2 linked regions of the Nothobranchius furzeri genome follow. The protein of the gene in region 1 interacts with the protein of each later gene in a pairwise test. Links are inferred from orthologs where the notes say so. Each region holds a gene or a part of one and is shown on either strand. Other genes may lie near its edges. The genes, in order: ptpn9a and reep6.

Region 1 (3,818 bases):
GCAACTTCTTTTTCAGACCTCCTCCCCAGCGGTCCGACTGGAGCCGAGGAGACACTACTGGGGTGGATGGGGGGGGGGTGTTCATTCATTTTCATGCTGGATGCTGTTAAATAAAGTCCTCTGTCTGTAGCAGGGAGTGGCCGCTCAGTGGGAACGGGAGAGCTGTGTGTGTGCCTGTCCTCTGCATCGGAGCTCTCACCCCAGCGAGCCGACAGGCAGCTGCTCATAGGGGAAAGCAGTGTGTGTGTGTGTGTGGTACAAGATCATGAGGACACACACAGCGAATAAATAAAATAAGGTGATTCAGTCTCCAAAAGCAGCACAGCTCATGTCCGCCTTTGTTTACCTTAGGATCCTCTGGAGGTTTCTTCCTGTTAAAAGGGGGTTTTCCTCTCCACTGTCGCTAAATGCTTGCTTAGTATGAGGATTGATGTAAAGACTCTGACACTAGTCAGTGACTTGAATGCAATTTGCTGGGTTCCTTATATAGGAAACATTATTTCTGATTGGCTTAATGAACGGACCTGGATTGGAATGTTTATTATGTGAAGTGCCTTGAGACGACTCTTGTCGTGATTTGGCGCTATATAAATAAAACTGAACTGAATTGAATTATGGAGGACACCGCAGACTTTTCCGTGTGTATTAAACGCAGGGCCCATGGGCTCAGGGATTAGCCCCACCAAACCCCGACCGTACCGACGCTAATGTGAAGCGCCTTATGTGCGTCTGAACCCACTGAGCGTAGTGGAAGGTACCAGGCGGCGCCTCTCTACGCAGCTCCTCGTACTCCAGGTGGATGCCTGAACGCTGAAGCCTACCAAGGTGAGCCAGCAGTTCCTGGGGCCGCATGGACTCTGGTCCCGGGACGTGGATGGATGAGTCTTCCAGGGGGATTCCCACCAGCTCGTCAACAGGGTCCACTCTGCCGTTCTGACCCGCCAGAAGCTGCTGGTTCCAGCTGAATGAGTCCAGAGGCAGCAGGCCACCGAGGTGCTGGGGGAGGCAGTCTCTGGGGAGGTGCAGACGCAGCTCTGCCATCTTCACCATCTGGACCTGGAATCAGAAAGCATCAGCTCACACTGAATGTTGCTGCATGATAAGCTGTGCACAAGAACACCCTAGTGTAGTTCCATCAGGAACTATGTGCCTTCAGCCCTGCCCCCTTTAAAGATCCATAACCCAGGTAGACTTCACCCAAATGTCACTGAATGTGAATATCTTCTTGTGTTAACCTCCAGGCCATCTGTCAGAGGTGTGTGACGAGAATGTGCAGCTCCCCTTACCCTCTCTCTGAGTTTTTCTTTGAGGAGCAGGCTTAGCAGGTTGTAGGGGACCCGGAACCAAACAGGAGCCCCAACAATCAGCACCTTCTTCAGCCTGGCAGGGAACGCCCCCTGGTGGACACAAACAACACAGCTCATCATAGCATCAGAAATCCAGGAACGAGAGAAACACATCAATCTGATTTTCTTATCTGTCCATCGTCGTCTTAAAACACAAACAGACCATAAACAAGTCCTGCTTGGTGCCGTCTTGTATCTACAGAAGGAACTGAGACCAGTTCATCTGCTGCTGACTGACTGCACATATACTATCAACCCTTTAAAAAGAGCAAACATGGAGGTAGCGGCCCAGGAAGCTCACACAGCTTCTAACACTAACTCATCTCCAATGTCGTGTTGTTGCTTCTGTTTCCTTCTACAACTTGACTCACACCTTCAGTAAGTTGAGGATCTTCTTGCTCAGGTCAAGCTCAAAGTTAGTGTAGTTGGAGCCAGCCATGTCGTAGATGAACACCAGGCCGTTCCTCTGGGTCTCAAAGCTGAGGAGCACAAACCTTCAACAGTAACCAAACTCGACCGAAGGACTTCCCACAATACCTTTGAATACATGAGTGATGACACAGCATTAAGTTAAAGAGCACCTTTCAACAGCCCGGTCCAGGAGATAGAAGAGGGCCTGTAGCACCACGTGGTTGCCCGTCTTGTTGGGATGATGAAGTTTAGCTGTGTACAAAGCGATGGATGCCCCTGAAGGGTCACGCACGCTCTGGAATGACACAAAGTCCTTTCATCAGTGTCCCTGCTGTCAGTGTGACTCCATTAAACCGAATTTATCAGCTGTGATAGCAGCTTCTGTTTCTGTTCAGGAAGAAAAAGCCTGAAAATTTAACACAAGGGGGCGCTTCAGCTCATTTTCCAGTTTTTGTAGAAAACATAAAGGACCGTGAACTACTTCAGCAGGAGGAATGATTATATTCCACAAAAAAGGCCATGGGCTGCAATGGCTTAGCTGAGCTAAAGAATGGCTGCAAGGATCCTGAGAGTCAGAACCTCTGAGCAAAGACACACCAGAACTGTCGTTTGTCAGTAAATAAGCCCGTCCCTGTTGTCCAGCACCAGAGCTAAAAATACTCTCAGACAGGATATGAATCCTGCTGCTGAGGCTGGAGAAGTCCAACGTCAGATGGCAGGATGTGAAGCATCAATGCTACCGCGCGTGTGCGTGCAAATGTGATGGGAGGTACAGAGCTAAATCTTTCTGGAACAGGAAACACCCACAGATAAGTAACACCTAGCCTGACCCACGGTTTGAATTCTAAATGATAAAACTAAGTTACTTCATTAAAGGTTTGAATGAGGGTGGAGTACTAGCACCATCAGCTAGTAATTCCCTAGGTTTCCAGAGTTTATCTAGTCTTCCATGAAGACACTTCAAAGTAATAGATTTATTTGAATTGGTTCATGAAGGACAGAAGATCTGGGGCTTCATTTATAAAACTTGGTGTGGAAGCTTTTCTAAAAGACTACTCAAAGCCAGGGTACACAAGTTAAAAATGTTAAATAACCTTCAAATTCACCCTCTGACCTAATTTTTCGGACTGAAAACAACGATTGGTTGAGGTTTTTAGACAAATCCGAAAGAACCACTTTATTAATTTTTTTCTGGTATTTTTTAAAACTCCACAATATCTTTATAGCTATGCTACATTAGCATGTTGGTAAGAGGCATAAAAAAAACATTTGAAGCTAATTTGTTTTCCAAATTAAGGAATACAGCTTTAAAACCAGACTGGCAATTTTCCAATATGTAATTTCCCATTAAATACTCGGTCAACTGAGAGTAAGTTACCTTCTCCAGTACTTTAGAGATAAAAAGAAGTCTGGAGATGGGTCAATAAATGAGACAGTGCACATCAAATGAGACACTATCTAAGGGGAACAGTTAACTCATTCACTGCCAATGACGACTAAAGTCGTCATTTGCATTTTTTACTGTTTGAGCATTGGAACGAGCCCCCGCGCTGATAGAACAAACATCCCAGCCCTGAAGCCGATCTTCATCCGCCTACATCACAGATCACATGATCAGGAAGCAGACCATCCATGTGTTTGGAGATCGTTTTGGGCCGTTCCTGTAAAAAAAGTGAGGCGCGAAACGGAAAAGCGTCTGCCGATCACAATTCGACAACGGATTATGAAAGAACGGATAACGCTCAAAACACACGGCTTCTTCCTGATGTAAGAGGTGAGTCTCCTCTTTGTTTAGGTTGTTTTGGCATCGACATCATGCTAGCGCGCAACGTTCTGTGACTCTTAAAAAAACAGTAAAAACGGTGAGAAAGGCAGCGAAGGCCGTTAGCAATCAGGAAACGGCTGGCAGTGGATGAGTTAATTTATCCCAAAAGGGCTTTGAGGGAGGAAATATTGTTAATCATATCGAACAAATATCAGACCACCTGTCTGCGATTTCCTACTGGAACAAGGTTTAAGAAAACCCAGACAGCTACACCTCGAGCCCGGTTCACTGCCCTG
Region 2 (4,550 bases), on another chromosome or scaffold:
CATTTCGTGTGCATTTTAAGATATTGATGTTTGTTTTTAAAGCCCTACACGACCTAGCTCCTCCATATCTGTCCGACCTGCTGACTCCATATGTACCTACTCGTATGTTGAGGTCAGCTGACCGTCTACTGCTTTGCACTCCCCGGATGGCCTACAAATCACGAGGTGAACGTGAGTTTGTCCATGCTGCCCCCATGCTCTAGGACTCACTGCCCAGTACAGTCAGGCTGGCGTCCTCTCTGCCTGTTTTAAATGTCGTTTAAAAACCTACTTTTATGACTTGTCTTTTAGACAGTGATCCATGTCATCCTATTAGGATTTTATAGTTTTTATTGTTGTGTTTTATCGTCCTATTGTTTTTACTTTTGTTTTAATTGATCCTGCCTGTTCAGCACTTCGGTCAGCTCTCACGCTGTGTCTTAAACTGTGCTATAGAAATAACGTTGGCATGGTATGTTTACAGCCTGGTACCAGAACATGTTTTTGGTTTAAATGATCTAGTTTACACTCATGACAACTCTGAGGGGGGTGAATGTTTTTCTCACTCTTCTGTTTAAGTGTATTAAAAGTCTAAAATTCTGTATAATTAATGAGCCTCAGACCCACGTGACCACAGAGCTAGCTCCGTGGAAAGGCCTCAGTAGAGCCTCGGTCTCGCTTAAAAACTGTTCCGTCATTTTCCGTCTCTCAACTTAGACCATTAGTTGTAGCGTTTGTGTTCTTTTTTGGATATTTTTGTGCAATTGTTGGACAAAATGACTTGCTGTGGCATTAATTGCACTAATAGAGCGTCCAAGGAGTCTCCACTTCATTTTTTCGGTAAGTAAAATTATATTTATGTATTTTAGGTCACTGCCGAGCTGAGCTTAGATTTTAACATGTACTGTTTAACCATGACATTTAAATGTAATAGGGTAAAACCCAGTGCATTTAACATAATGCTGCACTTTAGAAAATGGGTTGAAATATAACATGTTGGTGGAGCTGGGTTCCCACTATCGGTATGGTCCCCTCCCCTCAGCGGCAGCTCGGCGCATCGCAGCGGCGCCTGTCTGCTGCGCGGCTGCCGGCTTGTGGAGCTCTCGGTTGGAAACCTCTGTGTTCCACCCGGTTTTACCCAGCGGTCAGCCTGGCACATCTCCGACTCAGAAGCTCCGGTGTTGTGCACAGTTTGCTAGGAAGCTACCTCTGTTAGCTTAGCTCCCCCCTCCGCGTTGGCTTTGGTTTAGCTTGTAGCTACATCACTGTTCGACGGGTGTCATCATTTGATCCCAGCCTTACAGCCCCACCTTCAGCTCCACCTCTTTTCCCTTTTATGGGATTGTCTGGGCGCGACGAGACGTGTGACACAATCAAAATGGCGGTGGTGGCCACCTCCCATTTCAAATTAAAAACTTCTCATACGAGCCTATGTACAGGAATCGTCCACTATATATATATATATATATATATATATATATATATATGTCGATGGTGTCAAGCTGGGAGGTATTGGGTCCCATTTTTTAAAAGTCTTTGGAATGACCCGATTGGGATTTGAACCCCCATCTCCCAATCCCAGGGCAGACACTAAAGTAAAAAAGGTAGCACAGTCAAATAAAAAAGTAGTTCACTGTAGGATAATTATTTGATGCTCTGAATGCTTTAGACAAAACAAATTTACTTAAATAATTGGTTGTTACAGAGAGCCAACTTCTCGATCGAGAGGAGCCAGTTAAGGTGGCTCGGGCATCTGCTTAGGATGCCTTCTGGACGCCTCCCTGGTGAGGTCCGACTGGGAGGAGATCTAAAGGAAGACCCAGGACACGCTGGAGGGACTATGTCTCTCTGCTGGCCAGGGAACGTCTCAGGATTCCCCCAGAGGAGCTGGCCCAAGTAGCTGGGGAGAGGGAAGGGTGGGCCTCCCAGTTAGACTACTGCCCCCGTGACCCATCCCCGAATAAGCGGGCCGAAAACGGATGGATGTTTGGTTGTTTGTTTGAAAGTTGTTAATAAAGGTTTTTATAAAAAGTAGCTCAGTGACCAGCATCCCTGCATGCATTGCGGTCGATCACGCAACACTCCCTTTTCCAGTTCAGCGATTATTTGCACACTTGTATACCGCACACTCGAAGCCTTACTGCACACTTCCTGCAAGTGCACTCTGCTTAGTAGACAGGGTTCAGAAGATTTCACAGATGTTTAGTAAGAATCAACAGGAGGAGAGGCTCCAGAGATGAATAAAAATGTTCAGGACAGCAGGACTTCATCTTGCTTGTCATCCCAGGAGTTTTCTAAGTTTGAGCAGAACGTTGTAGGGCACGGGCTGTAGCCAGAGCTCCTTAAAGGAAAAGCAGCTCACAAGACACTCCCGTAGTTTGGGATTTAAAACAGGAAGTGCATGATAAAGATTAGCCACTAAAATGTGGACTTCTGAAGCTGTGTCAGGATGGGACTCAGAGCCGAGTTGTAGGAAAATAAAGAGTTTCAGCCGCTTTAACTCCAGGACCTGCTGGGAACCTTCACCAGAACACGGTCTGGGGGAAGGCGGATCAACAAAAGGAAACGTCTAACGATGTCAAATTCAGAGGGTTTCTGTTTGAACCAAAACCAACAAACAGGAAATCAGATGCAACTGAAAGGAACATAAAAGTGAGATGAGGAGGCAGTTTAAAGTCCGATTATGCAGAATAATAAACAGAAGCTTTGGCTGCATCTCCTCACAGGAGGATTAACTGAATCCTCTTTTCTCGGACTCGTCCAGGCAGGTACCGTTGTGTCACACCTGGACAGAATCCACCCAGAACCACGGACACCTTTCATCACCTGAACACAGCAGGAGCTTCCTCACATACCCACAGCCAGGACCTTTTTCTTGATCCCCGTCTTTTCCTCCACCTTCCCCAGAAAATCCGTCACCACGTTCTTCTCGTTCAGAAACTTTTCTGCTCGGTCCTTGATGGAGGTGAGAACACCCAGCAGTCCCATGGTCTCCAACAACGTCCTCAAAGAGAAGCAGAGAGGAAAGGATCCTGGACCGGCAGCTGGCAGGTAGTAATCCTCTCACAGCAACAATCTGTTGTAATGAGGAGGTGGAGCGGTGAGGGAGGAGGTGCCTCGTGAGCATCCGTTAATCCCAAAATCATTCATTCAAAAGTCTCATTCTTAGATAGAAACATTAAAACTTCCCCCGATGATTATGTTATGGTTATATAGTTGTTTAAAGTTTCAGTCTTTGCCTTTTCTCCATTTCTCGTTTTTATTCTCCATCAAACACAAAACAGATTTACTCATCCTAAAGGCAAAGTTGTTCATATTTTTGAATCAGCATCTTGAAACAGTGAAATGTCACTCAGACCCCACCGCCCTCTGTGGCCAGGATACCTCAGAGTCCTGGGCCACCGCCTGTTGTGCTGCTGCCAGCATGTTTGTTTTAGATCATGGACACAGTTGTTTGTTTAATTTAGTGATGAATCACTCCTGTAGACACTAAAGAAGGCTGGGGAGACATTTCAGCTATTAGATTTGGGTGTTAAAAAGAAAAAGGCACAGCGAGGAGATTGGTTTCATTTTGGACCACAGATAATTAATAATGGACACTAGGGGGTGCTAAAAGCAAGAAAAACTGCAGAGTGTGCCCTTAAATGCCAGTTGTGCAGAAACAACACAAAACATCAAGGGGCCATGTAGGTTTTTTTAAACCTTAAATGGTTTTATTTATATATATATATATATATATATATATTTTTTTTTTTTTTTTTGGAGCACACTAGAACTACAGCTGGTAACTTTTACTTATAATGTGTTACAGTCATATCCCCATTCGCACATTCGGGTGCCTTCACAAGCATGTGAGAATGGCCTTGTTTGAGATGAGCGGCGCCTCGCCTGGAAAACAGGTGAGAGCAGACGGACGCAGCGGTGGGAGTGGCTAAAAGCCTGCGTTTAAGTGGGACAGGTTTCTCTACATGTAGCTTGCGGGTGACGATGGCTGAAGAAATCGCATTAGCGTTCATAATTGCGTAACCCTCTGGTGCCTGTTAGCAACTGAAACACATCCTCACATGCGTGTGGAGATCATGTGTTGTAGACATGTGCTTATGGAGACATGACTGTAACAATAAGTAAAGGTTAGCAGCTGTAGTTTTAGTGTGCTCATAGGAAACGTGACAAAAGAACGTAATCACATTTCTCTGTATGGCCTGTATAGTTGTCATCATCAACGTAACATGATTTACAGAATACATGTGACCAACTATCATTTAACGTTCCACCACAGGATGTTTGGATCAAAAGTCGGCGTTGAAGCTTCTTTCCGGAGTATTTCTCTTATCTGATGGCACCATCTAGTGGCTGACAAGCATATCACACAAAAAGTCTGTTCCTCTGTTTGTTTAAGATGGCGACTTCACGTTTCTGGTTATAAATGTGCTTCTGCAGCTGACAAACGGAGCTAAAACACGCTGTTTTACGAGTATTATTCTCATGTCATGTTGTGTTTTCATATATTTATATTTTAGAGACTTACTTGTCCGTGAAACGTTCATCAACTCTGCATCAGCCGAGGTATT

Evidence for each region.
Region 2: the proteins of ptpn9a (region 1) and reep6 interact in binary tests that used the Homo sapiens proteins (3 or more experiments, as listed by UniProt). The two-hybrid records come from large-scale screens. The link is inferred for Nothobranchius furzeri from reciprocal best matches to the Homo sapiens genes PTPN9 and REEP6.

What each region holds. Positions count from the first base shown.
Region 1 is NC_091754.1:45,540,271-45,544,088, forward strand, and holds part of ptpn9a (tyrosine-protein phosphatase non-receptor type 9), read right to left. Parts: intron 2,053-3,818; coding exon 1,928-2,052; intron 1,826-1,927; coding exon 1,720-1,825; intron 1,398-1,719; coding exon 1,287-1,397; intron 1,057-1,286; coding exon 740-1,056; intron 1-739. UniProt on the Homo sapiens protein: Protein-tyrosine phosphatase that could participate in the transfer of hydrophobic ligands or in functions of the Golgi apparatus.
Region 2 is NC_091748.1:78,702,223-78,706,772, forward strand, and holds the start of reep6 (receptor expression-enhancing protein 6), read right to left. Parts: upstream 2,968-4,550; coding exon 2,835-2,967; intron 1-2,834. UniProt on the Homo sapiens protein: Required for correct function and survival of retinal photoreceptors. Required for retinal development.